Linked DNA regions of Nothobranchius furzeri. The protein of the gene in region 6 purifies or fractionates together with the protein of the main gene of each other region. This does not show direct contact. Links are inferred from orthologs where the notes say so. Each region holds a gene or a part of one and is shown on either strand. Other genes may lie near its edges. The genes, in order: cop1, supt16h, ssb, sqstm1, ilf2, sox2 and dnajb6b.

What was found.
Region 1: the proteins of sox2 (region 6) and cop1 purify together in Homo sapiens (affinity purification with western blotting; 3 studies listed by BioGRID). This does not show direct contact. The link is inferred for Nothobranchius furzeri from reciprocal best matches to the Homo sapiens genes SOX2 and COP1.
Region 2: the proteins of sox2 (region 6) and supt16h purify together in Homo sapiens (affinity purification with mass spectrometry; 3 studies listed by BioGRID and IntAct, with this or other methods). This does not show direct contact. The link is inferred for Nothobranchius furzeri from reciprocal best matches to the Homo sapiens genes SOX2 and SUPT16H.
Region 3: the proteins of sox2 (region 6) and ssb purify together in Homo sapiens (affinity purification with mass spectrometry; 3 studies listed by BioGRID and IntAct, with this or other methods). This does not show direct contact. The link is inferred for Nothobranchius furzeri from reciprocal best matches to the Homo sapiens genes SOX2 and SSB.
Region 4: the proteins of sox2 (region 6) and sqstm1 purify together in Homo sapiens (affinity purification with western blotting; 3 studies listed by BioGRID, with this or other methods). This does not show direct contact. The link is inferred for Nothobranchius furzeri from reciprocal best matches to the Homo sapiens genes SOX2 and SQSTM1.
Region 5: the proteins of sox2 (region 6) and ilf2 purify together in Homo sapiens (affinity purification with mass spectrometry; 3 studies listed by BioGRID and IntAct, with this or other methods). This does not show direct contact. The link is inferred for Nothobranchius furzeri from reciprocal best matches to the Homo sapiens genes SOX2 and ILF2.
Region 7: the proteins of sox2 (region 6) and dnajb6b purify together in Homo sapiens (affinity purification with mass spectrometry; 3 studies listed by BioGRID and IntAct, with this or other methods). This does not show direct contact. The link is inferred for Nothobranchius furzeri from reciprocal best matches to the Homo sapiens genes SOX2 and DNAJB6.

The regions. Positions count from the first base shown.
Region 1 is NC_091751.1:60,919,367-60,923,051, reverse strand, and holds part of cop1 (E3 ubiquitin-protein ligase COP1), read right to left. Parts: intron 3,665-3,685; coding exon 3,521-3,664; intron 3,363-3,520; coding exon 3,254-3,362; intron 3,144-3,253; coding exon 3,062-3,143; intron 1,679-3,061; coding exon 1,562-1,678; intron 955-1,561; coding exon 837-954; intron 1-836. UniProt on the Homo sapiens protein: E3 ubiquitin-protein ligase that mediates ubiquitination and subsequent proteasomal degradation of target proteins.
Region 2 is NC_091742.1:80,398,808-80,402,492, reverse strand, and holds part of supt16h (FACT complex subunit SPT16), read right to left. Parts: intron 3,435-3,685; coding exon 3,319-3,434; intron 3,248-3,318; coding exon 3,094-3,247; intron 3,012-3,093; coding exon 2,884-3,011; intron 1-2,883. UniProt on the Homo sapiens protein: Component of the FACT complex, a general chromatin factor that acts to reorganize nucleosomes. The FACT complex is involved in multiple processes that require DNA as a template such as mRNA elongation, DNA replication and DNA repair.
Region 3 is NC_091754.1:20,313,006-20,317,133, reverse strand, and holds the start of ssb (lupus La protein), read right to left. Parts: upstream 2,871-4,128; 5' UTR 2,753-2,870; intron 1,712-2,752; 5' UTR 1,703-1,711; coding exon 1,643-1,702; intron 1-1,642. Other genes in the region: klhl23 (kelch-like protein 23), read right to left, coding at 3,801-4,114. UniProt on the Homo sapiens protein: Binds to the 3' poly(U) terminus of nascent RNA polymerase III transcripts, protecting them from exonuclease digestion and facilitating their folding and maturation.
Region 4 is NC_091741.1:64,353,256-64,357,545, forward strand, and holds the start of sqstm1 (sequestosome-1), read left to right. Parts: upstream 1-1,478; 5' UTR 1,479-1,709; coding exon 1,710-1,872; intron 1,873-2,034; coding exon 2,035-2,130; intron 2,131-2,201; coding exon 2,202-2,476; intron 2,477-2,593; coding exon 2,594-2,747; intron 2,748-2,856; coding exon 2,857-2,925; intron 2,926-3,598; coding exon 3,599-3,753; intron 3,754-3,829; coding exon 3,830-4,028; intron 4,029-4,112; coding exon 4,113-4,273; 3' UTR 4,274-4,290. UniProt on the Homo sapiens protein: Molecular adapter required for selective macroautophagy (aggrephagy) by acting as a bridge between polyubiquitinated proteins and autophagosomes.
Region 5 is NC_091751.1:23,258,196-23,262,451, reverse strand, and holds the start of ilf2 (interleukin enhancer-binding factor 2 homolog), read left to right. Parts: upstream 1-1,352; 5' UTR 1,353-1,505; coding exon 1,506-1,510; intron 1,511-1,823; coding exon 1,824-1,883; intron 1,884-2,510; coding exon 2,511-2,553; intron 2,554-2,680; coding exon 2,681-2,785; intron 2,786-2,873; coding exon 2,874-2,951; intron 2,952-3,191; coding exon 3,192-3,294; intron 3,295-3,687; coding exon 3,688-3,753; intron 3,754-3,988; coding exon 3,989-4,105; intron 4,106-4,256. UniProt on the Homo sapiens protein: Chromatin-interacting protein that forms a stable heterodimer with interleukin enhancer-binding factor 3/ILF3 and plays a role in several biological processes including transcription, innate immunity or cell growth.
Region 6 is NC_091748.1:72,770,747-72,775,074, forward strand, and holds sox2 (transcription factor Sox-2), read right to left. Parts: upstream 2,967-4,328; 5' UTR 2,479-2,966; coding exon 1,510-2,478; 3' UTR 587-1,509; downstream 1-586. UniProt on the Homo sapiens protein: Transcription factor that forms a trimeric complex with OCT4 on DNA and controls the expression of a number of genes involved in embryonic development such as YES1, FGF4, UTF1 and ZFP206. Binds to the proximal enhancer region of NANOG.
Region 7 is NC_091747.1:47,501,998-47,505,682, forward strand, and holds part of dnajb6b (dnaJ homolog subfamily B member 6b), read right to left. Parts: intron 843-3,685; coding exon 733-842; intron 1-732. UniProt on the Homo sapiens protein: Has a stimulatory effect on the ATPase activity of HSP70 in a dose-dependent and time-dependent manner and hence acts as a co-chaperone of HSP70. Plays an indispensable role in the organization of KRT8/KRT18 filaments.

The DNA.
Region 1 (3,685 bases), on a different chromosome or scaffold from region 6:
GGCTAGTTTGTTCCATGTTGTCGTTCTTTTTTAAAACACAGAAACGGTTTTGTTACGTTATTGACGTTACAGTTTTGCCGACGGCTGCCGGCTTCTTCAGGCTTCAAAATCAACCGGCTTCTTCAGGCTGACGCTGATGGACGCTGTCAGCGCCAGCCTGAAGAAGCCGGCAGCCGTCGGCGAAACTGTAGCGTCAATAACATGTAACAAAACCGTTTCTGTGTTTTAAAATAGAACGACGACATGGAATTAGAAATAACGCACAGCAAGAACACACCTAAGATGTTCAAAGGGCTAGTTTGTTGCTAATTTGCAGGAATTATCTAGAAGAAAGTTGCTAAGGGTCCTCAGAAATGTAGCTAGCTTTGTCACGAGGCGTTAGGAACAGCGACAAAGTCGCTGAGTTGGCACTACCTCTCTCTCTGCTGCTAAAGCTACTGATAGCATCAGTGTCTGGTTTGATGGTGTCACTTTTGTGAAGCGTATTTGCAGTCCTGGACTTATTTTCACACAAAACCTAAAATAAAATGTACCCCCGTTCAAAAATAAGCACGTAATTGGTATAAAAAAACGCGTCTTTAAAATTCACGGACACCATATGTGAAATCCATGGAACATAGCAAGCGGGATGAGAAAATAGGTTTTTAGCCCCGCTGACTTGCATCTTCATCGTCGTTCTTCTGGGGACCCATGGTCTGGAAGCAGATGGGCGTGACTTAGGTTCCTTATTAATGAACATTTGACTGCATTAAAATTACAGTTAATAATTTCTGATATTCACCGTTTTCAAAATAAATCCCAGTAAAAACGGCTGAAAGTAAACCTAAGTGACTTACGCAGAAACAATCTCCTCTCCGTTTACAAACTTGGCGTAGGACACGGCCTTCCTGTGGCCTTTGAACACCATGATTGGCTGCTTAGTGTTGCGAAGATCGTAGTAGTGGACGCAGTGATCTAGAAGCAGGACGAGTTAAAAATAAACAATCTGGGGCTTTTATTCTTGTAACACAGTAAAGTTATGATGCAATGTCTTTGCTGCTTTGTGCTGAAGTTAGCGTTTCCAATAAGAAATGTTCCTTCTTTCCAAACTGTTTTCAAACTGAAGTTTTTCTTCCTTGAGCGACCACTCCAGGGTCAGGAGGCGGCTTTCTGCCAGTGGACCTCAGACACACACGCTGAAGTGTCAACGAGCCTGGACAACTCTCAGCAACAGAGTTCTGCTCCGCTTGTTTTAAGCTGTTATCCAGTGTTAGTGATGGGAAATACTTTCCTTTGCATACCTGAATATTTATTACAATTCTTATTCTCCTGTGGGGTACTAATGAACAGAGTTTTCAGAAGTTTGTCTGGACCACCAGAGTCAGCATAACCACAGATGAAATTTAGTATCTTCAAGGGGAAATAACAGTGGTGGGAGGTGAGTACCACAATAATAATACATCAAAATGAGAGAGAAACAAGTTTAAAGTTTGCCAACATTACACAAACACATTATTCAAGAAGGAAAACTTTTGTTAGAATCAGTTTGGAGTGTTTGAACAAAACCAGTCCTCCGTCTTACCCGCACAGCCGAAGGCCAGATGATATCTGGAAGTTGGGCTGAATTTAACACAGCAGACGTTAGCTTTAGCCTCGATGCTAGCCACTGAGTTGTTCAGGTTGGTTGACCACAGTTTAACTAAAGAAAAAAAAACAGGTAAACAATATAAACACTTTAGATAAAAAAGCAGCGGAGCCCCATGCTAAATTTATACATTGTTGATGTTTTTTAAGTTTTTCTGAGGGATGCTGTGAACCGATCACACGATTTAAACAGGGTTGGAATCAGGTGGAAAAGATCAGATTTACCCGTATAAAACAAAAAACACGACTCTTTAAATTCACTCCGAGATAGAAATTTCTTAACTGGCTGGTGAAAAAGTCTGTCGTTTGGTGGTATTTTAAACCAGACAGCTGGAAAAGCAAATCACCTGCCTCCATTAAGTCTGATTAACGCCGAGGACACACCGGCCGCCGAAGCGCCGCGAAAAGGGGACCGCCTTCATTCGGCGCCCTTGTTATCCTATTCTGTAGACCACATGGGCTGCCGAAGCGCCGGCGCTCCAGCCCACGCCGTGCAGCGATCGTTTTGGCGCCTGCTCTATTTTTTTTGCGAGCCGCGGGTGAACCGCGTCAATTTTGGCAGGAAGTCAAACCTAGACATGAGGCAGGCCGGTAAATTTAACAAAATAAAGCATTTCAAAATACAATTCCGTGATCGTCAACTGTGTTCGTAAACAGACACTGCATAAAAACCACACAAACACACACACACAGCGAACTTGTGTGTGTGTGACCACGTGAAGGGGGTGTGGTTTTGGGTGTCTTTCAACCGGAGCAAACAGGACAGAGAGGCAGAAAGACGTAGGCCAGCTATTAACAACCGGTTCACACCATAGGTTCTCACACACACACGTACAAACACACATACAAACAGCAGGGGGGAGGGGGGTGTAGAGGAAAAGTGCAGAGAAAAGGCAGAGAGGAAATGGAGGACACCAAGTGGTTAAAAGAAAAACTACGAGGCGCGCCTCGACCGGAGTGGAGAAACAAGCGTCTGGTCTGAACCGAGGCCAAATTTTGTGAGCGCTTCGCCTCCTGGCGCTTCGGCGGCTGGTGTGTCCCCGGCCTTACACTTCTCTGTCTGTGCTGAGTCACGCAACGCCATTATGCGTCGCTGCAAGGGCTCTTCAACAGGCTCACAGAGGGTGTTGGACACATGCCCAAATTTTTATATATCCGTCAAAAGTGACGGAGACCACAAGCTTGTGATTGGCCAGGATGCCACTTCCTTTAAATTTGTCAACGGCCCCGCCACTGCCCCCTCAAAAAGTATAAAATATATACTTAGCTGCAGACACAGAACAGATCAAAGAACGCATCGCGGAAAAAGTCCGAAAATATGAGCGTTTATTGACTCGTGACTGAAGGGGTACAATAACAGTACATGTGCAAATCTCCTTTTCATTTAGAACTCTGGTGGTCGAGAACCCCAGATAAATCATATGAAATCCTCTTTTACCTTTAGCATCATCAGAACCCGAGGCTAGGAGCTTGGGGTCCATCAGGTTGAAGTCAACACTCCAACATCTTTTCTCATGCTCCTAAAAATATGGAAGTCAAACTTCAGAAAACCGTCACAGCAAAAATATTCATAGTTATAATAAGCAGAAAAAAACCCAACATCATGTAAAAAGCTGTGCATGAGTCACACCTGGTACACTTTGGACCGCTGCCCACTGAATCCATCCCACAGAATGACGGTCCCTTCATAGTCGCTGCTGGCCAGAAGGTTCTTGTGATAACTGCTCCAGCTGATACAGCTGCAATGGAAGATGAAGTATCATTTTGATATGGAAACTCAGCAGATCCTCAATTTGAGATAATAAAATGTCATTTGATGAATCACTGCCTAAAGTGTAGGGTACTGATCTGATTAAAAGCTAAAACTCAGTTCCTCTTGAATTCGTTTATTTTTTACCTGATTTTGGAATTGCACGTCATTTCATTGACAGGGTAGTGGATGTCTACAGCATCCTGGATCACCGTTCCATACTCAAACACCTTGATCTTCTTGGTCACGCCAGCGATGGCGAAGTAGTCACAGTCACGGTCAAATTCAATACTGAAACAGAACACAGTGAGA
Region 2 (3,685 bases), on a different chromosome or scaffold from region 6:
CACTAGTCAGTGACTTGATGCAACCTGCTGAGTTCTTATATAGGAAACTTGTTACTGATTAGCTTAACTAATTAACTGCTGGCCATTTCCTGGTCAGAAAAGCCTCTCGCTGCCAGTGTTTGAGTGTTTTTACTGTTTTTTTAAAGAGTCAACAGAACATTGTGCTCTATGATGATGATGATGATAGAGTTCTTTTTTTTTTTTTACATCAGGAAGAATCCACCTGTTTTTAGCATTATCTGTCCTTTCATGGCAGACGCTTTACCAGTTCCAGTTTTTTCAGTTCGCTCCTCACTTTTTTTACAGCAGCGGCCCAAAACGATCTCCTAACGCATGGATTTTCTGCTTCCTGATCACGTGACGTGTGACGTACGCGGATGATGAAGACCAGCTTTAGAGCTGGGATGTTTGTTCTCACGGTGCGGGGGCTCGTTCCGACGCCCACACAGTAAAATAATGCATATAGTATAGTTGTCAACGACGGCGAACAGTTGGACTTAAAAAGAAGACTTTTGTCGTCATTGGTAATAAATGAGTTAATGAACTGAACTGAATTAGAATGTTGAATTTGCGAAGCGCCTTGAGACGATTCTTGCTGTGATTTGGTGCTATATGAATAAACAGAGTGTGTTTGAACTATTTCAGCTGTTGGTTTGTGTGAAAACTGCCATAAGATTTAATCCTAGTGAGGAATGGAGGTCTAGTCTTGATCTACGACTCGTGTTAAGGTTGGGTGATTGGACTAACTTAATGACCATCGATGACGAGTCCAGCCCTTCAGCGATGCTTTTATTAAAAACGATTTCTTTTATGGGAAATTTCGCTACTTCCAGGCAAAATCAGTGTCTTTTACAACACTCTGTAGAAGAAACATATTTTATATAGCGCTTCTCAAGATAAAAATCAAGAGGCGTTTTGCACTTATGCACATTATACGTGTTTAAAAATCTGGATTCTCATGACTAAAAGGACAACTGTAGACACAGTAAAGGCCACTCAACCTGCTCAAAAATGTGAAATAACTAAACATGTCAGACAGAGCCGACCCCTCTGAAACAAAAAAAAAAAGGCTTTATGTCAACAAGTGTTCGATTAATGTCCTCTGATAAAATAGTCCACAAGTTCTCTGTCTACAATCCAACACCATTTACGGCTGAAACCCTTTAACGTTTCCTTCAGATGCATCTGGATCTTACAAAGTCCTCATCAGAGCCTTCACTGGCGTCCTCATTCATGCTTCAGACCTTTGAACATCTTACCTGATCCTCTGGAATAAAGGTTAGCCTCTCCACTGGGGAAAAATCATCTGCTATTGGCAGATTAGATGGTCATGATCGATTTTCCCCCGTCACTTTTATTTATAAAATAATAAAAACTTAGTTTTGATTCATGTCTAATTAATATTTAGTCCACGTTGACCAGAGAGCCCCAGCAACATATTAACTTTACAGGATTTAGGGACGCGCCTCCCGCTGTGGTCTGAACTCCTTCCGACTCCTTCCTTCTGCTCTGCGTAAGCCTGAACTGGTCTCCAAGCAGCTTGCTGAAGAGGCTGTAGCCATGAGGTTCTGGACCTCAGCCTCAGAATCATGGATGTTTAAATGTTCTGGAGGATGAATCCATGCTCAGACATCCTACCCACAGCTCATCAGCACGCCATCAACAGCGAGATGCGTTACGAATGGTGTCCAACTGGAAGCTAGCGCTCAGATGCTCTGATGGGAACATCCAGATTGATTTTGTTACCTCTGCGACGTTTTCTGTAACGTTTAAAATAACTGCACGCCTGCATGAGTGTGTGTGTGTGTGTGTGGGGGGGGTAATTGCAATCTGTCAAAATGACAGGCAGCCTTCAGATTATTCTGTCACTGTTTAAAAGAAAAAACAAGGGGGTCAAATAGTGAAAATATCCTGTTAACGCAACACCAGTGTGGCTTCAACCAGTTGTGGTGCAGAATACTGGCGAGTGACATTGAAAGGCCAATAAAGTTTGGAAATGAACTAAATCTCACATGAAGAACTCTGGTCAGCCTCCACAGACCGATTAGGAACCACTTCAGTCTGTGGCGTGTCAGTCCAAACGCCACCAGAGGAAATAGATCGCCCACGGTAACTGGTTTTTATGCATCTCTAACCTTAAGGTGCGTACTAGAATCTAGAGCCCCCTTCAGACAGGCCATGAAAAACGGAAATGTTCCGGACTCTGTCCGTAAGACCTTTGTGTCCAAATACAAACACCTGATAATGTTTTCTGTAATTAAACCGCCAGACACCCCTAGTAACAGGTCCAGACTCGTCACGGACAGGGTGACTGCTTCAGACTGGTGAGGTCGAGCTCCGGACAGGGAGGAGGAGGAGGAGGAGGAGGGGACCGGGGGACGCTGTGTGCACCTAGATAGCCCGCTCCTGTAGCATGCGGCGAACCACGGCAGCTCGCCTCCTACGGTACCATCTAGACGCGCGACGGAGCGCTTCACACCGCTTCAGTGATTCCTTTAACCATTGAGCTTCATCATCCAGGTCTCTTATGTGTGTGCGCAGAGTTATGCTTAACATAAGTCCGATCAGTGAGAGGAATTCTATCTCTTCGTCGGCCATGTTTGACTGAATGGCTTTGTTTGGGTAAATGATGCATGTACGCCCGCCGCACCATGTTTACGCAATATCCGGGTACAGCCCCCCCCCCCCCCCGACATCTGGAACGTTTCCCTGCTGTGTGAAGGCAGCCGAAAGGACAAGTTCGGGTACAAAAGCGGTGTGTCTGAAAACACAGTTCTGGTTAAAAACCGGACTCAATTGTCCGCACATATTCCAGAACGTCCATCTGAAAAGGGTTTAGGACACACCACTCAGCTCGACAGACAGGAGTGAAACAAGTCTCACATTTCTTTGACAAAGGTAGCGTCCGGGTTGGGGAAGATGTTTCCTTCCTGTCGTCCCAGAGAGCTGCCGGGGACGAAGAAGTTGATCCTCAGGTAGGTGTAGTCTCCTTCTACAGACATACTGATGTTCTACGTGAAACACAACGACAATGATGCGTTTATATTAAACAAACACTAATCGGTTAGCTTTAGGTGCAAACCCTGATCAGACCTTGATGGTGGCGATGTGGAACGGCGTTGCGATCCCAAAAACAGGCATGACGACCGTCTCGTACTTCTTGTCGATGTAAATCTTCATTTCCCTGATTTCTTTCTCTCTGGGCATCTGAGAGACGTTCTTGTAAGACACGTTGGATTTTCTGGCCCTGGAAGAACGAGCAGAGGCGTAACTAGATATCCGAGCGCTAAGCAGCGCAGGGCGAGGCTCCGCTCTCACTTCTGGGTGTGCTGCTCCCCTTTCTGCTCCGTCAGACGTCGCTTGGCCTCCTCGTTCAGGTTATTGGCCAACTCCTTCTGGTGAGCCCGCCTCTTCTCCTCCGCCGTCATCTCGTTCTGAGTTTGTTTAAAAACAGCGTTTTAACAGAAACGCGTGAGGGCGGCGTTTGGGATGATGGGCACAACACACATGCAGAAAACCTCACGGCCAGATTCAGATGAGAAAATGAAATAAAAACAACCAAAATGAGACAGAAACTCAAATTCAGATGAACTTTTTCTCATCTCATCTTTTCCTTTTCTGAGTCAGCTTATTTTAGGAAAACACGGACTCACCTTCCCAAGTAGCTGATAGAGTACAAAGACAT
Region 3 (4,128 bases), on a different chromosome or scaffold from region 6:
ACGGACTGATTTGCAAACACAGAAGTCGTCTAAACACTGATTTTTATTTTTCTGGCTTTGAGAAAATGAAATGAAATGGATTGCTGCTGCATTTTGACACACTCTGAGGAGGGAGCACAGCCAGAAGTCACATGATCCATTTATCCCCATTGCTTTTGTTTATTTTAAATAATAATAATTATTCAGTACCATTACATTTCCATTCATTTTAATTAATATTTAGTTCAAACAAGCTGAACAAAGTGTCCCAGTAACATAAACAATGCAATTTAACAATTCCACTTAAATTAGGAACAATTCATCTGCTGCAGCCTGAACGCACTCTTCCTCTGCTCTGCGTAAACCTGAGCTGGTCACCTGCAGCTTGTGCGTACTCAAATGTCTCTACGGAATTCGCTGGAGAGGTTATGAGGTTCTGGGCTTTTGCCTCAGACTTATGGATGTTTAAACGTTGTTCTGGATGAATCTGCACTCCACTAACACACTCGAAGCAGGGGCAGAATAACGAGTGCCACTCGCCCAAAGTTTTAAAATCGGGAAAAATGTCTCCAAATGAAATAACCAGAAGTCTTCCAGACTCTCTGAGAAAGATAGAAGGGTTTCTACTTGACATTGCTCTCTTGTTCACATTGTCAAGTGTGTCGCAGACGCTCTCCGAGCTCCTCTTCCGCGTCAGCAGTTAAAGAGGCGGAGAAAGAGAGAGATGATGCTCAGATGCGCTGATGGACATCTCGTCATGATTGTTACCTCCGCGGTGTTCTCTGTGTGTAACGTGTAAAATATCTGTCATTAACAAACGTCATCATGGGCAAATAAATAAATGAACATATCGCCTCTTGTAAAAAAAAAAAAAACAATCGTAACGACTCAGCCCGTCGCTGACGGTCAATTAATTCGTCCCGTCGCCCAACCCTAATCGGGTGTGTTCCCACCTGATGCTAAGCGGTGCGTTTTGGAAGTGTCCAAGAAGCGTAGTATCACATCGCTCCACTAACTTTACATTGAGTTTTTTTTTCTCATGCACTACACTTCCAGGACGCACCAAGCCCAGCAGTTCAGATTGTAACGGACAGGAAGTCAAATGTAAACTTAAACATCCGTCAACTTTCAAAATAGAACATGTGCAGATTTGCAGTTGCTTAACTAGTAAGTAAGTAAGAAAGTAAGTAAATAAATAAGTAAATAAATAAATGCATATTACATATAAAGTCTCCATAGCTGAGGTACAACACAAAGAAAATAAACGAGGCCCTTTAGTACACATGCTGCTGTCTCTCTGCTTGTCACATGAACTGCCGAAATCATGCTTGATCTTGCAATTCTGTGGCAATTTTGTGACCTTGCAAGACGGGCAGCTTGGAACGCATAAAATAAAAAATCTGAAACACTTCCAGTGGTCAGAGACAAGCTGCTGAGCTCGCGAGGAAAACGTGTCTATTACATTATGTGCTGCTTACACATCTGGTGGAAAGCAGCAAATGGCAGAGTGACGCGAAAATACACTTCTGTCCAACATGTCCAAAAGCTTCACAGCCAGCTGAAACACACCCACTGACTGTAATGGCAAACTACGCTTCACAGATGTTAAGTGAAGATTACAGATCCAGCAGAGAGCCGATGACAGAAGTTTGATAGCAATTACCTCCAGTTGGCGTGCCACTTTCATCTCAATGGGGGTCATTTGATCTTGGTTTTCTGCCATGATTGTTTTCTGTAGGAAATGAAATTGCAAATAATTAGCAAACTCTAAAAATAAATTTCTTACATGTGGGCATGTGTCCCAGTTTTCAGAGGTACCATGGTACGAACGCTGATCATTAAATTTATTAATTTGAAATACTGGGAGACAAATTTAGATGAATTGCAATTTGACCTATTTAAAAAATCCATGTTTTATTTATAACCACTCATTGTTTTCATCACATAAACTGGTATGGTTTGTATAATCATATATCTGGCATGCAAGCCTCTCAATTGTTTCATTAGACATTTAAATGTTTAAAAACTAAATGGTGTAGACTGTTGCCTCTGCGATACATTAACCCCTTAAGGCCTAGGTCTATTTTGAAGACTATTCTTCGAAAAATGGTAAAAATGGTATTTAATGGTAAAAATAGTTTAGATAGCCATGTAGTGCTGGGTTTGCTGATTAATTTGATGGCAATTATTACTATTTCTTCTGTAGTGCGAGGGGTTTTTGGCCCTGTTAAGGAACTAACATCATGGGGTCCCCTAGGGCTTAATACATGTTTATATAAACTATTCCTGATTCAGAAACAGTGAATAAAAGCCACTGCCTACCTATTTCTACAATGAATCTAACGGAATTTACAAATTACCATAAATGTACAGATAATATTCGTTTTAAGAAAACTCCTGGAAGCTAATATAAATCTAATTTATTAATTTGTGTCACGCAGCTGTCTCACATCTAGTTACATTTCAGTTACCATGCGTCAGCTAAACCTGCTAGCTTGTCTCAGGAGTTGCAAACCGGCTACGGTTTATATATTAATTTAGAAGCAGAACCACCCAGAATCATGACCCGTATTGTAATAAACAAACAAAACGTGTTTTGTCACCGTAATGCACATTTTGGGGACACACATTGGGTCTGTAATGTTAACGTCGTCATGTGGTTGCGTTCAAACAGTAGCGTGCTGCTCAAACGTACTGTTAATCTACAACAACGTATTCCAAGTTAAATGAAAAACGCCATAAAACATTGTACTAACTCAAATGTTTTACTTACGTTATCACAGTTGTGATCAAACTGCACTTTCGGAACTTGAAACCGCAAAAGCTTGCCTTTCGTGCTGGCACGTTGTAGGACTGCGTGCTACGGAAACCATCGAGGGCCAAAAAGTGTCGAGGAGGTCGCAGTTTTACGGCAGTTCGATTCGTGCGTCGCAATCTGTGTCGTGCAGCTTGTGCCCAGCAGCTGTCGCTGCAATGCAACATTCCAACACAAATGTAGATTTTCTTCACTTTTTATTTTATTTTATTTTATTTTATTTTATTTTATTCAAAAATTTAAACTTATGTTCGTTTTCAAGCAAGAAAATAAATCTTCACTTGATCACAGAGATTTATGTTTTCTATTAAGATGTTTTTGTCTCACAAATTGTTTTGTAGAAACAACCAGCTTTTTATATTACTCCCCTCTAAAATATTCTTGTAGTTCAAAACAAAAGCTGCAATGATTACTATTTTTACACTCACAAACCATCTTGTGCATCTTCTTGTAAAGCAGCTGTAAATGCTTTGTTGCTGGAAGTTCATTCACATAAACTTATTTTTACAAACTTATTAGAAAAATTTAAGATCCCAAATACTCACATATCAATACATTTGAAGAGTTATAGAAATACAAGTGACTTTAAAAGTATTTTTTGGAAAGCAAACATCCCATTATCAGTGTTGTGATTTATTTTATGTGTTACTGACCAGTGACTTTTCAAATAAAAATGCTTTTAAAAGATTTATGAAACAGTTGTGCTTTATTTCATACTTCTCAAGAGATACCTGAGGATTAAGTGAAACACTGGATAACCATGTTGTTACAAAAAACTTCCACAATGAAAACTTGACATGGTTTGTGCATAAACCTTTGCAAAGTAGTGAATACTGTGAAATTATATATATATATACATACATATATATACAATATATACATATATATATATATATATATATATATATATATATATATATATATATATATATATATATATATATATATATATATATATATATATATATATATATATATATATATATATAAACACCTGTGATAAATGTCACTGGACCCCACGAACACAGACACATCCATGTGATCTGACCGGGCTGGGAAGAGTCCCCACAATCTCCCATGAGTCTAGCTCTGGGTCATATTTCTCAATGCTCTGCAGATAGGTCCCTTTTGAGTAGGAGTAACCCCCTGTTACATAAATACAGCCATTTATCACTGCAGCCCCACACTCCATCCTCCTCTCTTTCATCACTGAAATGGGTCTCCATTCGTCTCTTTCTGTGTCGTAGCAATCCGCAACGGTCGTCTGTCCACCAACCAAATACAGCTTGTTGTGCAGAGACACCGAACAAAGCCCATATTCTGGAAAAAAAACA
Region 4 (4,290 bases), on a different chromosome or scaffold from region 6:
GCATATGTTGGGTATGAAATACTTAAAGAATATGAAAAGGATGTGTAAAATATTAATGTTTTTTTCTCTCTTTTATTCAGCACATACATACCTGCTGTAGGTGGAGAATAGGCCAAAATAAGCATTGCTTCTGCCTATTCCTTTTTTGGTTGTAATTCATGACGTTATCGTGATGTATCTTAGTTGTTTGAAGATCTTCTCTGTAAACATGACAACCAAAATAAAGGATCGATCAATCAATAGCCTGGTGCTGCCCAGGATAGAGAATTGCTTTGGATTGATCCAATCAGCTGGTTTCTATTATAGAAGCAACTTTGACTGATTGGAGATGTAAAACCTTATGGACCTGATTCTGGTGCAAGGTGTTAACTGGTTTAAATAAATATTTGTCTCAATGTCTGTAATTCATTCAGTTACCTGGTTTAAAAGTGGATTCATTTGGCTATTAATCAGTCTCACTGGAAGAACCTCACTCTAGCTCCAGGATGCTGAGAGCACTGATGCATTCTGGGATTGTTTAACTTTGTTTTAAGAACAAAAAGAAATCCAAGCATGCATGTTTATCATTGGACCAAAGCAATAAAAACAAATGATTACAATTAAATAATTGAAATTAAATGTTAAATTAATTTTACCTTAAGGTTGTTGAAACCTGATTATGTAATCAGAGCTCTTTATACAATGTAGTCAGAAAATATTTAGCTAATTCTTCCATTAAAAATCTTTGATTCTATAAATTGTTTTTAGTCAAGCTGACAAAACTGAATAACAGTTTCAAATGCAGTGACTTTCACTACATTGACCTTTAAAGGCTTTAAATGAGAGGTTTGGGTGGTTTTCAGCTTCATCTTGTGATTCTGAGTCAGCAAGTCATATGACTCATGCTGCTGCTGATTGGCTGCAGCGGCTGGGTGACATCACAGATGCAAACAAACATTTGATCAAAACAGAAGCTCATGAGACATTTGAAAAGAGTGATGCAAGGATGACTCAGGTGTTTGAGGAATACTGAGAGTTTGACTTATGTTTTACATTTCATATCCCATCTAATTGTTTACAACTGGACAGCAGAAAATCAGCTTGAATCTGGACTGATTAGAGCAGGATTTGCAGATTGCTTTCGTTTTAGCTGTAGATTAATTCTGTAAAAGTGTGTATGGGTTCTTGACTCTGTTGTAGTAATTACGGACTGGGGTTATCTTCAGCAGATAATTAACAGAAAAAGCATGTCGGGGTTGAAACCAAAGCTCAGTTAAAACACACACAAACATGCATGTTTATGTTTCTCTGCTGGATTTCTAGACCTGCAGTTGCGTTCTCAGCTGGATCCACTCATTTAGGATTTTCATATTTTTTTATTAATAAACTACAAATCAATCACTTTTCTAACAAATAAAACAATGTGCCACGTCACAATGACTAAGCGGCTTTCCCAACTAACACCTGCTCACGTGACTAGTTGGAAAGTCCCTCACCGTGCTGTGTAAAAAGATGTTTCTAGACGGCAATGGTCCCTCATTAGCGGAGCTCAATGAGGACCAATGGGAGGCTGTGTGCGTCTTTACGTCATCTTAAGACGATGACATAGAATGCGGAAGTAAACATAAAAGAGGCTGAAATTTACCGCTGCGTCACAAAGTTCTAGAGTTTGGTTCTCCGTTTGGTTGTTTTTCTGTCTCTGTTCGGAGTTTGGTTCGATTGAGTTCGTAATGTCGGTGACGGTGAAAGCCTACTTGCTGGGAAAGGACGAGCAGGTGAAGGAGATCCGCAGGTTTGCGGTGGACCAGGACGTCTCTTGCAGCTTCGAGTACCTGAGCAGGAAGGTGGCGGCAGCTTTCTCCAACCTGAGCAACTTCAACCTATTCTACAAGGGTGAGGCGCTTATATCAGAGCTGGTTCTGTTTCAACCCAAACACTGACTGGATTTCTGCTGCGTGTCTTTCTGGTTCTGGATTGTTTTTAATATTCTGATGAATGATGTTTGGTGCCACCTGATCTGTGCTTGGACTTGATGTTTGAGTTATGGTGTTTTAGATGAAGATGGAGACCTGGTGGCCTTCTCCTCTGATGATGAGCTGATGATGGGACTGGGTTTTGTCAAGGACGCCACCTTTCGCCTCTTCATTAAAGGTAAACAAGTCGTCTTCCTGTTATTTCTTTGTAAGGTTCCATCTGACTAAAGTTTTGTTGAACTCTTGCAGAAAAGAAGGAGCACCGCCGGGACTTCCCTCTTCATGCATTCCCCCCTTTCGCTTTCGGGCTCCCTCATCAACATGGACCTCCTCATGCCCCACCTCCTCACCCGGGCCCGCCCCCTGCCGTCCATCCCAACGTCACCTGTGACGGCTGTGAGGGCCCTGTGGTCGGAACGCGCTTCAAGTGTTCAGTGTGTCCAGACTACGACCTTTGCTCCACCTGCCAGGCTCGAGGGACCCACACTGAGCACCCTCTGCTGCCCGTGTGGCACCCTCTACAGGTGAGTAACCTGGATGACAGGTGTCAGAGCTCAGGTCACCACTGGCAGGTGTCAGAACAAGTCACATTTCCTGATTAAAATGTGATAAATCGGTGGTTTTCTTAAAATTTTATTTAGCAGTGGTTTCCTCGAGGAAAATGGATGAAAAAGATGAAACACTGCACGTGGAACCAGCACATGGCCCAGGCACAGACCCAAAACCAGGACCAGAACCAGAAGCAGGAGCAAACCATTCCCTCCAGCTCAGCATCTGACTGCAGCACCTCCTCTGGTAGGTGATGTGAACAGATCTGTGTTTATGTACAAACTGGTCATCAGTCAAAAGGAGTCCAACTCAGAGCCATTGTCCAATAACAGAGACTGACCTCTGACCTCTGTAGCTTCTCAGGTCAGCGTGAACTATTTGAAGAACATTGGCGAGGGCGTGGCTGCCATGCTGAGCCCACTAGGTGAGTTGTTTTACCTGGAGATGTTTTTAATGTGCAATAAACAAGAGGGAACTCATCCTAATACGCACACGAGTGTCATTCAGACATTTAAAGTCATTTTAAAGTGCTGTTCTGTCAATTTAGATTCCAAACTACTGTTTCTAGGAATAGGAAGTCCTCTGACCAGAGCATTACTTTTGGCTAGCTGGATCTGTGACATTAGAAGCTAATTTCCAGGATTAGCCAGAAGAAAAACCTCAATGTCCTGCTTTTCCTAATTGGCTGCTCCACTTGGGCAGAGTGAAAACCCAATGGCACACAGGCAGTAGCAGTAGCATAGTATTTCAAACGTTATTAGAATAAAACAAACAGCATAAACTAAAGAAACAATCTCATGTAAAATTGTAGGGCTTTAAAAACTGCTAATATAGCGTGCTAACGCGTCACTATGGGTTGTTTTTAAACACCAGAAACGATGTATTATTTCATTACCAAGCTGACTAGTTAGCCTCTGTTCAGAGGAGCACTTTGTTTCACCTTCGGTGATGTCACCTGCAGGCAGTGTCTGTACTGTAGATATATGACCTATTGACCATCCCTTCAGAAAGATCAGAATATCACATTTAACCGTTTCTATTAAACTTCCTGACAACAGAATCCTGATGAAGTAGGGACTTTATCTGTGCATGTGCAGGTATTGATGTGGACATCGACGTGGAGCATGAGGGGCAAAGGATGAAGGTGACTTCACCTACTCAAGGTGAGGAAGAGCAGGGTGAAGTGCAGATGGATGTGGGAGCTGGCGAAAGTGGAGCCAGCAATGAAGGTGGAGCAAAGCAGGGGCCAAAGGTCAGTCTTCCTCAGACAAAAACTAATAGATCAGTCTAATTAATGACAATTACTGACCAAATACACAAATCTGCAGGTGGGCCGAGATGAAGATGATGAGTGGACTCATCTCAGCTCTAAAGAGGTTGATCCATCTACAGGTGAGCTTCAGTCGCTGGAGGGCCAGGGCTCAGGCCCAAGTCCAAGTCCAGGTCCAGGTCCAGCTCCTCTGTCAGGGACCGAGGAGGGACCCACAGGTCTGCGGGAGGCAGCTCTTTATCCACACCTGCCTCAAGGTGAGTTCAGATTCTGCGGTTCAAGTTTTTTTTTTTTTTTGGTAGTCCTGTCCCTATTAAGCCCCTCCCCTTTGTCCCCCACAGAGGCTGACCCCCGCCTGGTGGAGTCGCTGGCGTCAATGCTCTCGATGGGTTTTACAGATGAAGGCGGCTGGTTGACTCGGCTCCTTCAGGCTAAAAACTTCGAGATTGGAGCTGCACTCGATGCCATCCAGTACGCCAAGCAGTCCCACCCACGCCAGTGACATCATTTGACTACTTT
Region 5 (4,256 bases), on a different chromosome or scaffold from region 6:
GCAGATCAAATCTTTCTGGAAAGGCCAGCAGGGCTTCATAGATGTTTTCATTGCATATCTGTTTGCCAGTAGCTTTATTTTTCAGGTTTTTTTTTTTGATTGGGGCTTTTTATTGGAGTGTGATCACCAGTGGGTCTTGCTGCTATCTGTTGATGCTCCATCTCCTCAATGTCTTCGTCCGCACATGCTTCCTTCATTGCCGCAAGGTTGTAGTCATGGTCGGAAAGACTACCTATTAGCGCCGCCATGTTAGTCATTTGATTTTTTGTGTTTGCTACTTTATCTGTCCAATAACTCTTCAAAAACATGTTCCACAGGTACCGATTTCCTTTCAATTTCGTTCTGAATAACTGTTTATCAGAGAATTACTTCTCAGAACATTTAAAACCCACCGTTTTATCAGACCTGCCAAGTTTCCAGCACCTGCTCACTCTGCCATCTTGAATTCCCCCTCATGCACCACTAAACAACAGTGCTAGAGGAGAGCAGCTGTCCGAAGTAAGATGGCTGCCGCGTACGGACGTCAGGGTCCATTGACGAACAGCGCAGGTGAGAATCAGTGCATCTTTTGTATGACAGAATGTGAAACTATTGAGCACCTTTTTCTTCTCGTGTTCAGTAACACTTGGTTTTGAGGAGGATGTTTATCGATTGGTAAATATTGAGAGAAATGATGTAATCTAAAGTACTGATATACATGGATGCTCTTCCAAAAAAGATATCCAAAATGGTGAACATTACCAAATACATAAGACTAAATGGAAAAACAGCAAGCCTAACATTAATCATTTTAAAAATTAAATAAAACAATTTACAACATCTCAAAGAGTATTTTCAGAAAATAACCAATCTATAACTGAGTTGTGCGAAACAATGTCTGAGTTTCTTGTTCTTTAAATTACAGTCCAATGAATCAAACATGTTTGAACTATAATGCTGAAATATCAACCTCTGAACGTTTTTTGTTTGTTGTTGATGTTATTTTATTTTTTGTTTTAATTATTATTATTTTGCATCATAATTTATTTTATGGTAGTGCCATGCGGTAAATGTTGCAAGTTCTAAATGTCATTTTTATTTTCCTCAAGTGCGGTCATTTGTATTTGTTATATTCTTCAGTACGTTGAATGTAGGTTACATTGTAAACTGAATGTATGTGAAAACGAAGATTGAAATAAAGTTAAAAAAGAGACTTGACCAGAAAGACGTGAATGAATAAAGTTACGCTATGGCAGCAGCAAAAAAATATACCAATAAATAAAAAAAACAGCGCATCTAGCTATAATATGTGATATCTATGCGGTCCACACTCCATTCCAGTTGGGGGCGGTAATGTACCACGGCGTTGGTGACGTAAAACAGAAAGAAAGAAACAATTCCGCCGGAAACAGAAGTCTCTTTGTGCCACACTAGTCCCTTCCGCAGTTAGCCTCCGCTCATTCATTAAACCATATCAAACCGTTCTCCCTGTTTTCTCTCATCAAACCATCAAAACGTCGTACGCAATGAGGTAACGCTGACTAACCGGACCTGGTTGTGTTGGCTTTACGCTAACTAGCCTGTAATCAGTGTCATTAGCTGTTAGCCATTAGCTCGGTATAGCTTTCTGTTAAAGTCTCGTTCTGAACGTGGTGTTACTTATTTATTCCTCCAATAACAGTGTTACTGATAACTCTTACGTTTTATCGACAGCAAGTTAACACTGAGGTAGCGAATTAGGACTATAACACACGTGTGTTAGCTAAGATCAGCGTTTTTATTTATCCTTTAGTCTGGCAGTAGCGAGCGCACTGGACTGATCTGGGTTTTGTGTTTGTGAACAGAGGAGACCGCGGCAGGGGCCGAGGACTCCGCTTCGGAGCCCGGGGAGGCATGGTCCAGGGGTGAGTACCTTACTGATCTCTGTTCCTGTTCCATACTGGTTCTTTCAGTCAGGTCCTTGATCTGGTTGTAGAAAGTATCTGACAGTTAGTCTTAAGTTTGCTGGTTCGATTCCTGCTTCTGGATGGAACTCGGACCCATAAGCCATCAGAGTAGAAAAGTCTAAGTGAGAAAGATCTTCAGAAGTGGAAAAAGAAGCCTCTTGTGATTACACAGGACGACGGCACTCTCCCCAGAACATCTCCAGAAGGACTTCTTCAGAGCAGTTAGATCTTTCCATCCTGTCTGAAAGCAGCGTCCTGTTTCTGTCTCTTTAAACTTCATTTTTTCCCAAATGAAACAATCCATTGATTTCTGGATCCTTAAAAAGCTGCTGTAAAGTCTGGAATCATCAGCTCATGTTGTGCGTGGTCCTGGTGATGAAGCTAAGACGGATTGTTGGTTATTGTGCTGAAGCAAAAAGAACCGCTGCCTTGGTTATAACTGAAACCTCCAAATCATTGTTAAAATCTACTTTTTGGGTTTGAACATCAGCTTTCATAAGGTCCCGGTCAGACGTTCTGGTTCTGACTAGTAGGGACATTTGTGCCAGTCCACCGATTCTCCGTTCTTCTCTCTGTCCCGCTCAGGTACCGTCCTTTTGTCCCGCACATCCCATTTGACTTCTATGTGGTGAGTTCACGCATGTGACAGACAACAGAACAGCATGCAGGAATAATCAGTAACCATGGCTACAACTAGCATCTGGTAGAATCCGGTCCATTTTGTGGTTCTGAAGCAGACTGTTGTCCTTCCCCAGTGTGAGATGGCCTTCCCCAGAGTGAAACCTGCTCCTGATGAGACGGCGTTTAGCGAGTGTCTGCTGAAGAGGAACCAGGACCTGAGCCCCTCACCTGCAGAACAGGTCAGCTAGGTATTCCAGTTCAACACCTCACTGGTCTCATCGTGCTGTAGGTTACTTACCTGACGTCTTCATTTCCTTCTGCTTCTAGTCTTCCATCTTGTCTTTGGTCACAAAGATCAATAATGTCATCGACAACCTGATTGTTGCCCCTGGTAGCTTTGAAGTGGTGAGTGGTGAACATCTGACCTGTAGAGCTGCCATGTTTACTGAAACTGGTGTAAATGAGTTGGTGTCAGTAAGGCTGTAATGATCTGTGTTTGCTGTCACGTCCTAATCTGGGATTAAATGTTTCTCTTCCGTCATGACCTTCCTAGACCTCCCACAGGCTGAGCTTTATGTAGCTGAGCGGTTTTATCTTTTAGAACGCATCAAAGCCATCCCGCATGCTTACGTTATCTGTCCACAGCAAATAGAAGAAGTTCGTCAGGTGGGTTCATACAAGAAGGGAACCATGACAACTGGACACAACGTCGCTGACCTCGTTGTCATCCTCAAGATCCTCCCTACACGTGAGTCATTGTTCATTCAGACCAGCCCTGGGTCCGTCACTAGGGCCTCATCCTGCTGGAACAGCTTCAACAGATGTTCTGGTGAAACCACTGAGCACATCTGGACTCGTGTTGGTAAATACATGGCTAGTCCCATCATGCAGCCCGACCGGACCGGCTATCCAGCAGCTAAGCTGTTTAGCTTTAGCCTCTTTAAGCTTAACAGTGATGACGAAACTCGTCAGACCGTACAGGAACTCGAGAACAGAAGTGTCTGAATCCTAAATGTGTTTATGAGGCAACTTGGTGTCATTTAAACCCCGAATACCGTCGGTAGAGTGGTGATTAATACTGAGTCCAGTGTTAAACACCTGGAGCTAAAGCTGACTCTGCTCTTCATGTTTAATCTAACAGTGGAGGCAGTGGCTGCGCTCGGGAACAAGGTGGTGGAGACTCTTCGCACCCAGGACCCCGCAGAAGGTACGGGGGTGGGTCTGTGTGTGTGTGTGGGGGGGTGTATCTGCAGCTCTGGACCTTACCTAAAGGCTGAAGTTGGTCAGAGTGCCCTCAAGAAACAGAGTGAGCATCTTTAGTGAGTTAATGATGTAATAAACACTAATGGTGTGTGTGTGTGTGTGTGTGTGTGTGTGTGTGTGTGTGTGTGTGTGTGTGTGTGTGTGTGTGTGTGTGTGTGTGTGTGCACCCGCGCTTTCAGTTCTCTCCATGCTGACCAATGAGACGGGCTTTGAGATCAGCTCAGCTGATGCAACCGTTAAGATCCTCATCACCACTGTCCCGCCCAACCTACGCAAGCTGGATCCAGAGCTGCACCGTATGATACACACACACACACCCACACATGCATACACACACACACACACATGCACACACACAGACACTCGTTTTTTAAGGACTTCTCCGTTTTAAACGGTTCTTTCCACTGAACCTTTGATCTCTAATCTGTACAAGTGGTGTGAGTGTGT
Region 6 (4,328 bases):
AGTGAACATTAAATTAAAACTAAATCTCCTTAGAGACATTAAAACGCGACTTCCTGTCTGGAAGCCGCTTGGAAAACTGGGATTTATAGGAGCAAAACACAAACAAGCAGTGAAACAACACGGAAATACTGGGAAAATTATTTAAAAATGAAAATCCTGCTCAGTTGTGTCACTAAATAAAAATAGTGCCCCAGTCCAAAAAAGGCCCCCCACATACCAATTATTAGCATTTTTAAACGTATTAAGATGAAATGTTTGCCTCAACGTTTTCCTCTTTTTATATCAAAGAAGAGAAATGACAGTCTGTACCTGGGAATGTTGGGAATTTTTGCTGGAAAAACCTCTCCAGGCAACAAACTTTGTCTTTGAGGACCAGCGGGAACTGGAAGAAAGAAACGTGGTTAACCTCGACGCACAGGCTGGGAATAAAGGAGGAGCGTCCCCCCAGAAAGCTGCTGTTGTTCTCAAAAGGCAGAAATCACCCGAAAGATGCCAAATAAAAAGACGGGATGAAAAAAAAACACTCAACACACGAATTATTCAACGTGACAGAAACTGAATCAAAACTCAAACTATTTCAAGTATCCAAATTTCCAAAATTTATTCATTTCAAACCGCATATTGAAAAAAAATATACTCAGCTGAAACTGTAACTGTTATAAGGATGGTATTAGTCTGGGGGTATTTACATGGAGTGCGTGGCTTCTGCGTACAGGCCACGAGTTTCAAAATACAACTACGGGAATGAGCTTTGAAATAAAAACTTCAAATGTCACAGTAAATATACAGAAATTGTACAAATCAATAAAAAAAATAAAGAGCACAAGCGTCATGTCCGCTAAATGATGAAAAGTGGGAGACGGAAATATAAATTAACTAGCTAAAAATTTAAGTTGCATGACAGAAAAAATTGTCTCACGTTTGTTTCTCAAAGAAATAAAAGAAAAGTTTAGTAACGTTGACCTTAAATGGAGAAAAAACTGAAAAGAATAACAGTTTTACCTGCTTCTTATGTCCCTTTTCATTCCAGTGTTTGCAGTAATTCTAACTGATAAAAATTCCAATTCTGCAGTTTTTATTCATTCATCTTTTCTGCAGAACTGGCGCCGCTTTATATAAAAAACGAAAAGAAAGATGCAACCTCTTGCAGTTTAGCAATTCCCTCTGATTGTAATGTTTCTTTGATAAATACTGTACAAAAGGTGATTGCAATAATAAAACATCTGATTGCGACTCCCACTTTCTAGATTTCCAAACTCCATCCACCATTTTAGAGGGGGGGGGGGGGTCTCCTATCGTTCCTCTAGAGCATCTTCAGAATAAAATAAAAAATAAAATTAATTTTAAAAGAAACAGTGGAGTCCTTTTTTCCTGGAAACTTCTATACAACTTTTCCCACCCCAAATTTTTCTGTACAAAAATAGTCCAGCGTCTATAGTCCGCAGTTTCTCTTATAAAAGTTCTTTTGCTCTGTCTCACTCTCTCTCTCTCTGTCTGTCTGTCTCTCTCTCACATGTGTGTTAACGGCAGCGTGCCGTTGATCGTCGTCCCGGGCACGGCGCTCTGGTAGTGGCCGGACATGTGTAGCCTGGTCTGGGCGCTCTGGTCACTGACCTCGGCCCCGGGCAGGTACATGCTGATCATGTCCCTCAGGTCCCCGCTTTGGCAGCCAGGAGCGGCCCGGTGGGACGAGGAGGTGACAACGGGCGGACTGGAGCTGCTGGACTCGGACTTGACCACCGAGGAGGGCCCCATGGAGCCCAGGGTGGTCATCCCCGGCGTGGTTTGCTGGGAGTAGGACATGGAGTAGGTGGGGGAGCCGTTCATGTAGGTCTGGGAGCTGGTCATGGAGTTGTACTGCAGGGCGCTCATGTCGTAGCGGTGCATGGACTGCATCTGGCTCGGGTTGTGCGCGTTCAGACCCGGGTGCTGGTAGCTCAGCTGGTCCTGCATCATGCCGTAGCCACCGTTGGTCCAGCCGTTCATGTGCGCTGCGTAACTGTCCATGCGCTGGTTCACTCCACCGCCCAGTCCGGCCCCCACCCCGACACCGACTCCAGTGCCCATCCCGTTTCCTCCAGGAGCCAGCAGCCCGCCGGGCAAGGTGTACTTGTCCTTCTTCATGAGGGTCTTGGTTTTCCGCCGGGGCCGGTATTTGTAATCCGGATGCTCCTTCATGTGCAGGGCCCTCAGCCTCTTGGCTTCATCGATGAAAGGTCTTTTCTCGCTCTCCGACAGGAGCTTCCACTCTGCTCCCAGCCGCTTGCTGATTTCGGAGTTGTGCATTTTGGGGTTTTCTTGCGCCATCTTCCTCCTCTGGCCCCGGGACCACACCATGAACGCGTTCATGGGTCTCTTGACCCGCTCCGGACTGTTTTTCTGGTTGGTGCCGTTCCCCGTGGTGTTGGTGTTTCCCGTGCCCCCCGTGTTGGTCTGGGGAGCTGGGGGCTTCAGTTCAGTCTCCATCATGTTATACATCAGGAACAGCTTTGAGTCGGTGCTTCCAAGCCGACGAATGGAGGACGAAAAAAAAAGAGGAAGAAAGAAAAAGAAACAGAAACTCCAGGAGCCGGAGGCAGCGAGGAGCGCAGCGGCTGAAAGTTACCTGTCGGGTTGCTCTGCAACTTTTCTCTGGACAAAAACAAGCATCAAGCCGCGTCTCCACACACTCTCCCTTCTCTCTTCCGTCCCCCGAGTGTGCGTGTGTGTGTGTGTGTGAGAGAGTGTGTGTGGACAGAGAGCCTTCTCCCAATAGGTCCCTGCTATGTCGTGTCCACAAAACTTCTCTCGCTTCCTCCAAAAAGCATCAACAAACTGTACTTTTGCGCCTCTGCCCGCCTGAGCCTTGACAACTCCTGATAGTTTTTGAACAAGTTAATAGACAACCATGTCATGGCTGTCATCGAATAAATGGCTTCGACCTGGCCAATCAGAGCAGGCCTTCCCCACTGACACACCAATGGGAGGCCCTAATTAGCATAAAGAGGCGGGGCCTGTCTGCTCCGGAGCTTACGGGCATACTCTCACTCTCAGGCTGCCCTATGAGCCAAACACAGAGTACACATGTACTATGAGCATTATTGTTTCTCATTGCTGTCCGTATAGAAGCTCATTTGCGAGTGTTTTTATTTATGAAGAGTAAAACTGTGACGCCGAACTTGATAGGACGTTTATAAATAAATAAAAAGTTTTTTTTCTTGAACAGGTAGCACGTGCAAATGATGAAAGAATTCCTCAAAATTAATAAAACGACCCAAAAAAAATGACAATTATCTTATATTCAGCTGTGGCTGAGTTAGAAAGTTTTAATCCAGACATAATAATCTAATGTTTAGGTGGTGAAATGAAGGCAAATAGGCGGAAATATCTTTTAATAAGAAATACAATAATCAACTGGTGACGTTATTCAAACCGGAAACTGTTTTTTTTTCTGACTGAAGGCATGACCTTGTGTCAGTGTTAGAGAATAATCAAAAAAGTTACTAACACCCCCCCCCCTCCACACACACACACACACACACACACACAATCGGGCCCAACAGCACAACAAGACTTAAGTAAACGTTGTTAGTTAACTCAAAAGCCCTGTGTGTGTGTGTGTGGGGGGGGGGGGGGGGGGCTGGTTTTGGGTGTTGAAAGGAGGAAAGGTAATCCAAGATGTCTGCCTCCCCACCTAAAGCTTTTGTTTTGGGAAGTTGAATGCCAACACACACAAGGCAGACGGGCTCATCTCATCAGCACAAATAAGCGCGTTTTGTTTGGGATGTTGTCGCTACATCTGTCCGGACAAAGCCCCAACTCCACTCCACTGATGCTGCTGCTGCTGCTGGGGGCTTGCAGGCGGCTTAGACCCGTTGTCTAAAAGGGAGGGCTAATAAAAGGACATGAGTGTTTCTAGATTCATGTGAAAACACAACCAAGCGCGTGAGGGAGTCAGAAAAGCAGCGGCCTCTACCTGCTTCAGTTCTGATCAAACTCAGATTAATGCGACATGAGATTCTCCACAAAGGCAACACACTCTCAGAAAGCTCAACAGTCCAACACGAGCAAACTTCTGGAGTCTGCAGCGCTTGGTGCCACTTGTTTCTATTCTGACTGTCCACCTCGCGGCTTTGGCGCAGTGCTGCGTGACACCAGTGCCGCCTACTGGACTAACGCAGAACTACACGCAAACTCTGAAAAAAGTTTTCTCAGACAACAAAATCACCGCTGTTAGAAGTTAAAGTAGATAAAAAAAACTAAACCAAAATACAAAAATATTTATTTCACATCATTTTTATTCCAAACACCAAACATACGTCCGGATCTGCGAGTGCAGCAGACCAGTA
Region 7 (3,685 bases), on a different chromosome or scaffold from region 6:
GCACCTAAGAAAATTTCTAACCACGCGGACGGTCGGACGTGGAAAAACATTGCGCACTGGCAAGAACTAGTATGGCAGAGGTTCGTAAACACAGACATTTGTATGATTCAGCTCTCAAGGATCACCGTGATCAACATGTTGTTAATAATTCTTGGAGAGAAATAGCTCGCACTGTCGGAAAAGACGAGGACGCTGTTAAAAATGCTGGAATGCCATGTTGTAAACAGTAATTTCTACTTCTACTATGGTGTAGTGTTGGATGCATGCCGTAGAGCTTCATGCTGCCCCCTACAGTTTGGGAGAATATTGGCTCACCGCAGAGACGAGCCGCATGAACCATAAACGCTGCAAGTTGTGAAGAGCGTTCCATCCGCGAGCCGCATCACCAAGCGGAAAGTAAATGTGTCAAGCATAAACCAAGCCTTCGACCCACTCCCATATATTTTAGACCTGATTTTTATAGTTATGTTACGAAGCCGCCAATATTTTTCAACAGCTGGGCATCATTTCATTCATTTTCAACAACATTTTGATGAATATTTCCAGAAATAAATCGTTAAAAACTACACACCGTTAATAAATTAATCTTAGAAAAATTAACCCTTAAACTTTTCCTCAATAAAATCTATAAGGATAACCTCCATTTTCTTATTAGCACAAATTAGGAAACATGCAAACAGAATATCTGGAGTGCTGATGGGTTTAAAAATATACATGCAGGTAGAGTTTTACCATCTGAAAGGACTTCATAGGCCTCCGACAGCTCTTTGAACTTTTTCTCTGCTTCCTCCTTGCTGTCTGGGTTCTTATCTGGATGCCACTTCAGAGCTAATTTTCTGTAACTGAGGAACAAAAAAAAATGCTTTGAACACAAATAGAATTGAATAAGTTAAATACTATAAATATGTCCTAAAAGAATGTTTAGAGATGATGGGATGAAATGATGAACCTAAATTCTTTACTAGAGGTCAGAATGAAGTTAATACAAAACCAATCTCTAATCTTACATTGTTATAAATCTAAAGGTAAACTTTACTCATATTTAATACATTTGCAGTGGTCTCTAGTAGGCATTAATGCCTTGTAAGTCGTGCTCTGTGGAAAAACGCTCATATGCTCCTGTTTGAGGATGTACAAGTCAGCCAGAGAAGAAAAAGGCAGCAGTTTCCTGATATTTGGACATATCGTCTCTGATTGGTTGATAGCAGCACAACTCTGCCACTAACTGTTTGCATCGCAACACTGATGTTTTATGTCCACAAATAACACAAGCCTGAAGGAGTTCTGCTGTGAGGTGGAATTGCTAATGGTTAGCTTCTACTAGCCAAGATGCTTTCCTGTTGCAAGACAAGATGGGTGAGTCCATGAATGTTAAGTGACGGTGTGACGTAGATCTGTCAGGATTTTTAAATCCTAGAGTTTCATCGTCTGTTTTCTATCAGAACTAAAGCAGGAGATGGGTGTAGGAGACTTTTCATGTTCAGCCTGCATGATAAACTCAGTGACTGATTACAATCAGAAACAATCATTAACCTTTACCAACAAAACTGACTTTGATAAAGAATCTGTGAGTCAGAACTAATTATATTTATGAGCACCTCTGTTAAAAGGACATTTGCTGTTCTGTAACAAGCGGTGGTAAAACTTTGCCAAGATGACAAACAGCAGCAATCTGAGGAAACGACTGTCTAGGCTGTTATCAGCAGATCTACGGCACCATAACCGAAAAAGAAACCAATCAAGGAGAGCCAAAGTCCACACCTCAACCTGACGGGAATGATGAGTGGGAAAGGTTTCCCAACTGTGACGTCTTCATTTTTATGCCAGGTAACTGTGGTTCTGATTAAACAGTTTCTATACTTATTCTTTTTTTATTATGTGAGAGGATTTGCGTTTTTAATCACGTGGATTCAAGTGTAACAGACAACCTCTTGTCAGAAACAGATCCACGCGCAGGTCTTTTATTAGAGTAGCAGCCATGACAACACTAAGCACACACAGACACAAATCTGCACAGACAGTCCTCTCCACCCAAGCAGATTTAACAAAGACAGCCTGAACTGCACCGGTGAGCAGCGTGGGCCTTGCACAGCGGCTTACGCTGCATCAGCTGTTTGTGTCAGAGCCCAGCAGCAGCAGCAGGAGCTGCAGACAAGAGACTAAAACTCAGCCAGCAAAAAGAAAAAAGCTTCGGATAGTCCTGGGATCTGCTCCCTATAGTCTACTCAACAGCTCTGCTGTAATCTGTGATATTATCTTGCTGTGCAAAGCCCGTTTTACAGGTCAAATAGCCAAACAAGTTGAACAATGACAGCTGGTGATGATGGTTGTGTAACACACCAGTTTTTGGGTCTCATCAGAGAAGTCCTTGTTCAGCCTGAATATCGTCAAGGATAGCATAACAACCTGACATCTGGGCTGTAACTCAATACCCATTAAATTTAATAAACTAATAAAACAAACACGTTTTCAGGAATCTCAGCTATTTTAAACAACGCTGAACCGATTACAGATGCTGGTTCTGATCGATCTTTTATTCTTGTACAGTTCTGATCTCCAAACAACAATTTAGCTCAAAGAACTTTAATTATGTGACGTAAGAAAATACTGATACACTGAAATACATATTTAAAAGTAGAGCATTAATATTTCATTGAGAATTTACATATGAACATTTATTAGAATTTGTTTTGTGTGGTGCAGTTCAAACTCCAACAGGTAGGTGGCAGAACATTTTACCGCCTTCATTCTGACGGAACAATCAGATCTCACGATAACACTGATGAGTCTTGGAAGCGCCTAACCTGAGTTTTCCAATTAGATTCAATCTTAATTGAAAGTATCTAGACTTTAGTATTGCGATATATTTTATCATTTCCCCTATAATGTGATAAATACTGCATCACCAGATTCTTGCCAACGCACACCCTGACAGAAAACGTTTTTAAAACTCTGATTAACTTGAAAGGTTTGATCCAGGAGAGCAAAAACATTCCACATGTTATTACAAGTAATGGTGAGTTCATGTGTTAGAAAAAGTTTACCTTTTATTGCCGTTTGGCAGTGATGCACTCAGAGAAGAACTATAAATAAATCAGACCTTTGAGTTTCAGATTGGCTCATCACCAATAAATTATTATATAGAGCTATTCTGAGTCTTCATTTATATTCCTTTTGCTGTAAGAGCTCTGTGACACTAACCCCAACGGCACACTGTAGGCATCAGCGGCGTGGAATGGCAGCGGAACAGTTTACTCGCGACTATCGCTGCACTCCAGTGTACATCGCAAGAGTCTCAGCCGTGAGCTTCTCCGCTGTGCTCCTTGCTCGACTCGCAAGAACACAAAATTCCTCGAGTTTATGCCGTCCGTCATTAAACCAAAAAGAAGGAAATCACGTTTGATATTGTTATTTGCGGTCATGTTTGATATTGTTGTTCTTCCGGCTCTTGTAGAGTTCAGACGCTTTTTTTCAACCTCTCCTCCCCATCTCATCCCAAGGCTCTTTGTCTGTCTTTGGGTGTAAGGCGCTTCTGCAGTTTTTCTGAAAACTGGAAATTATTGAACATGGATCTGGTCAGTTGGTCTCTCAAAGCGATTGCAAAATTTTTTCAACGATGAGAACGGGAGAAGGGGCTCCCGGTTGCCCCTCTGGGACAGAGCCAGCTGGGCATATCATGGACTCC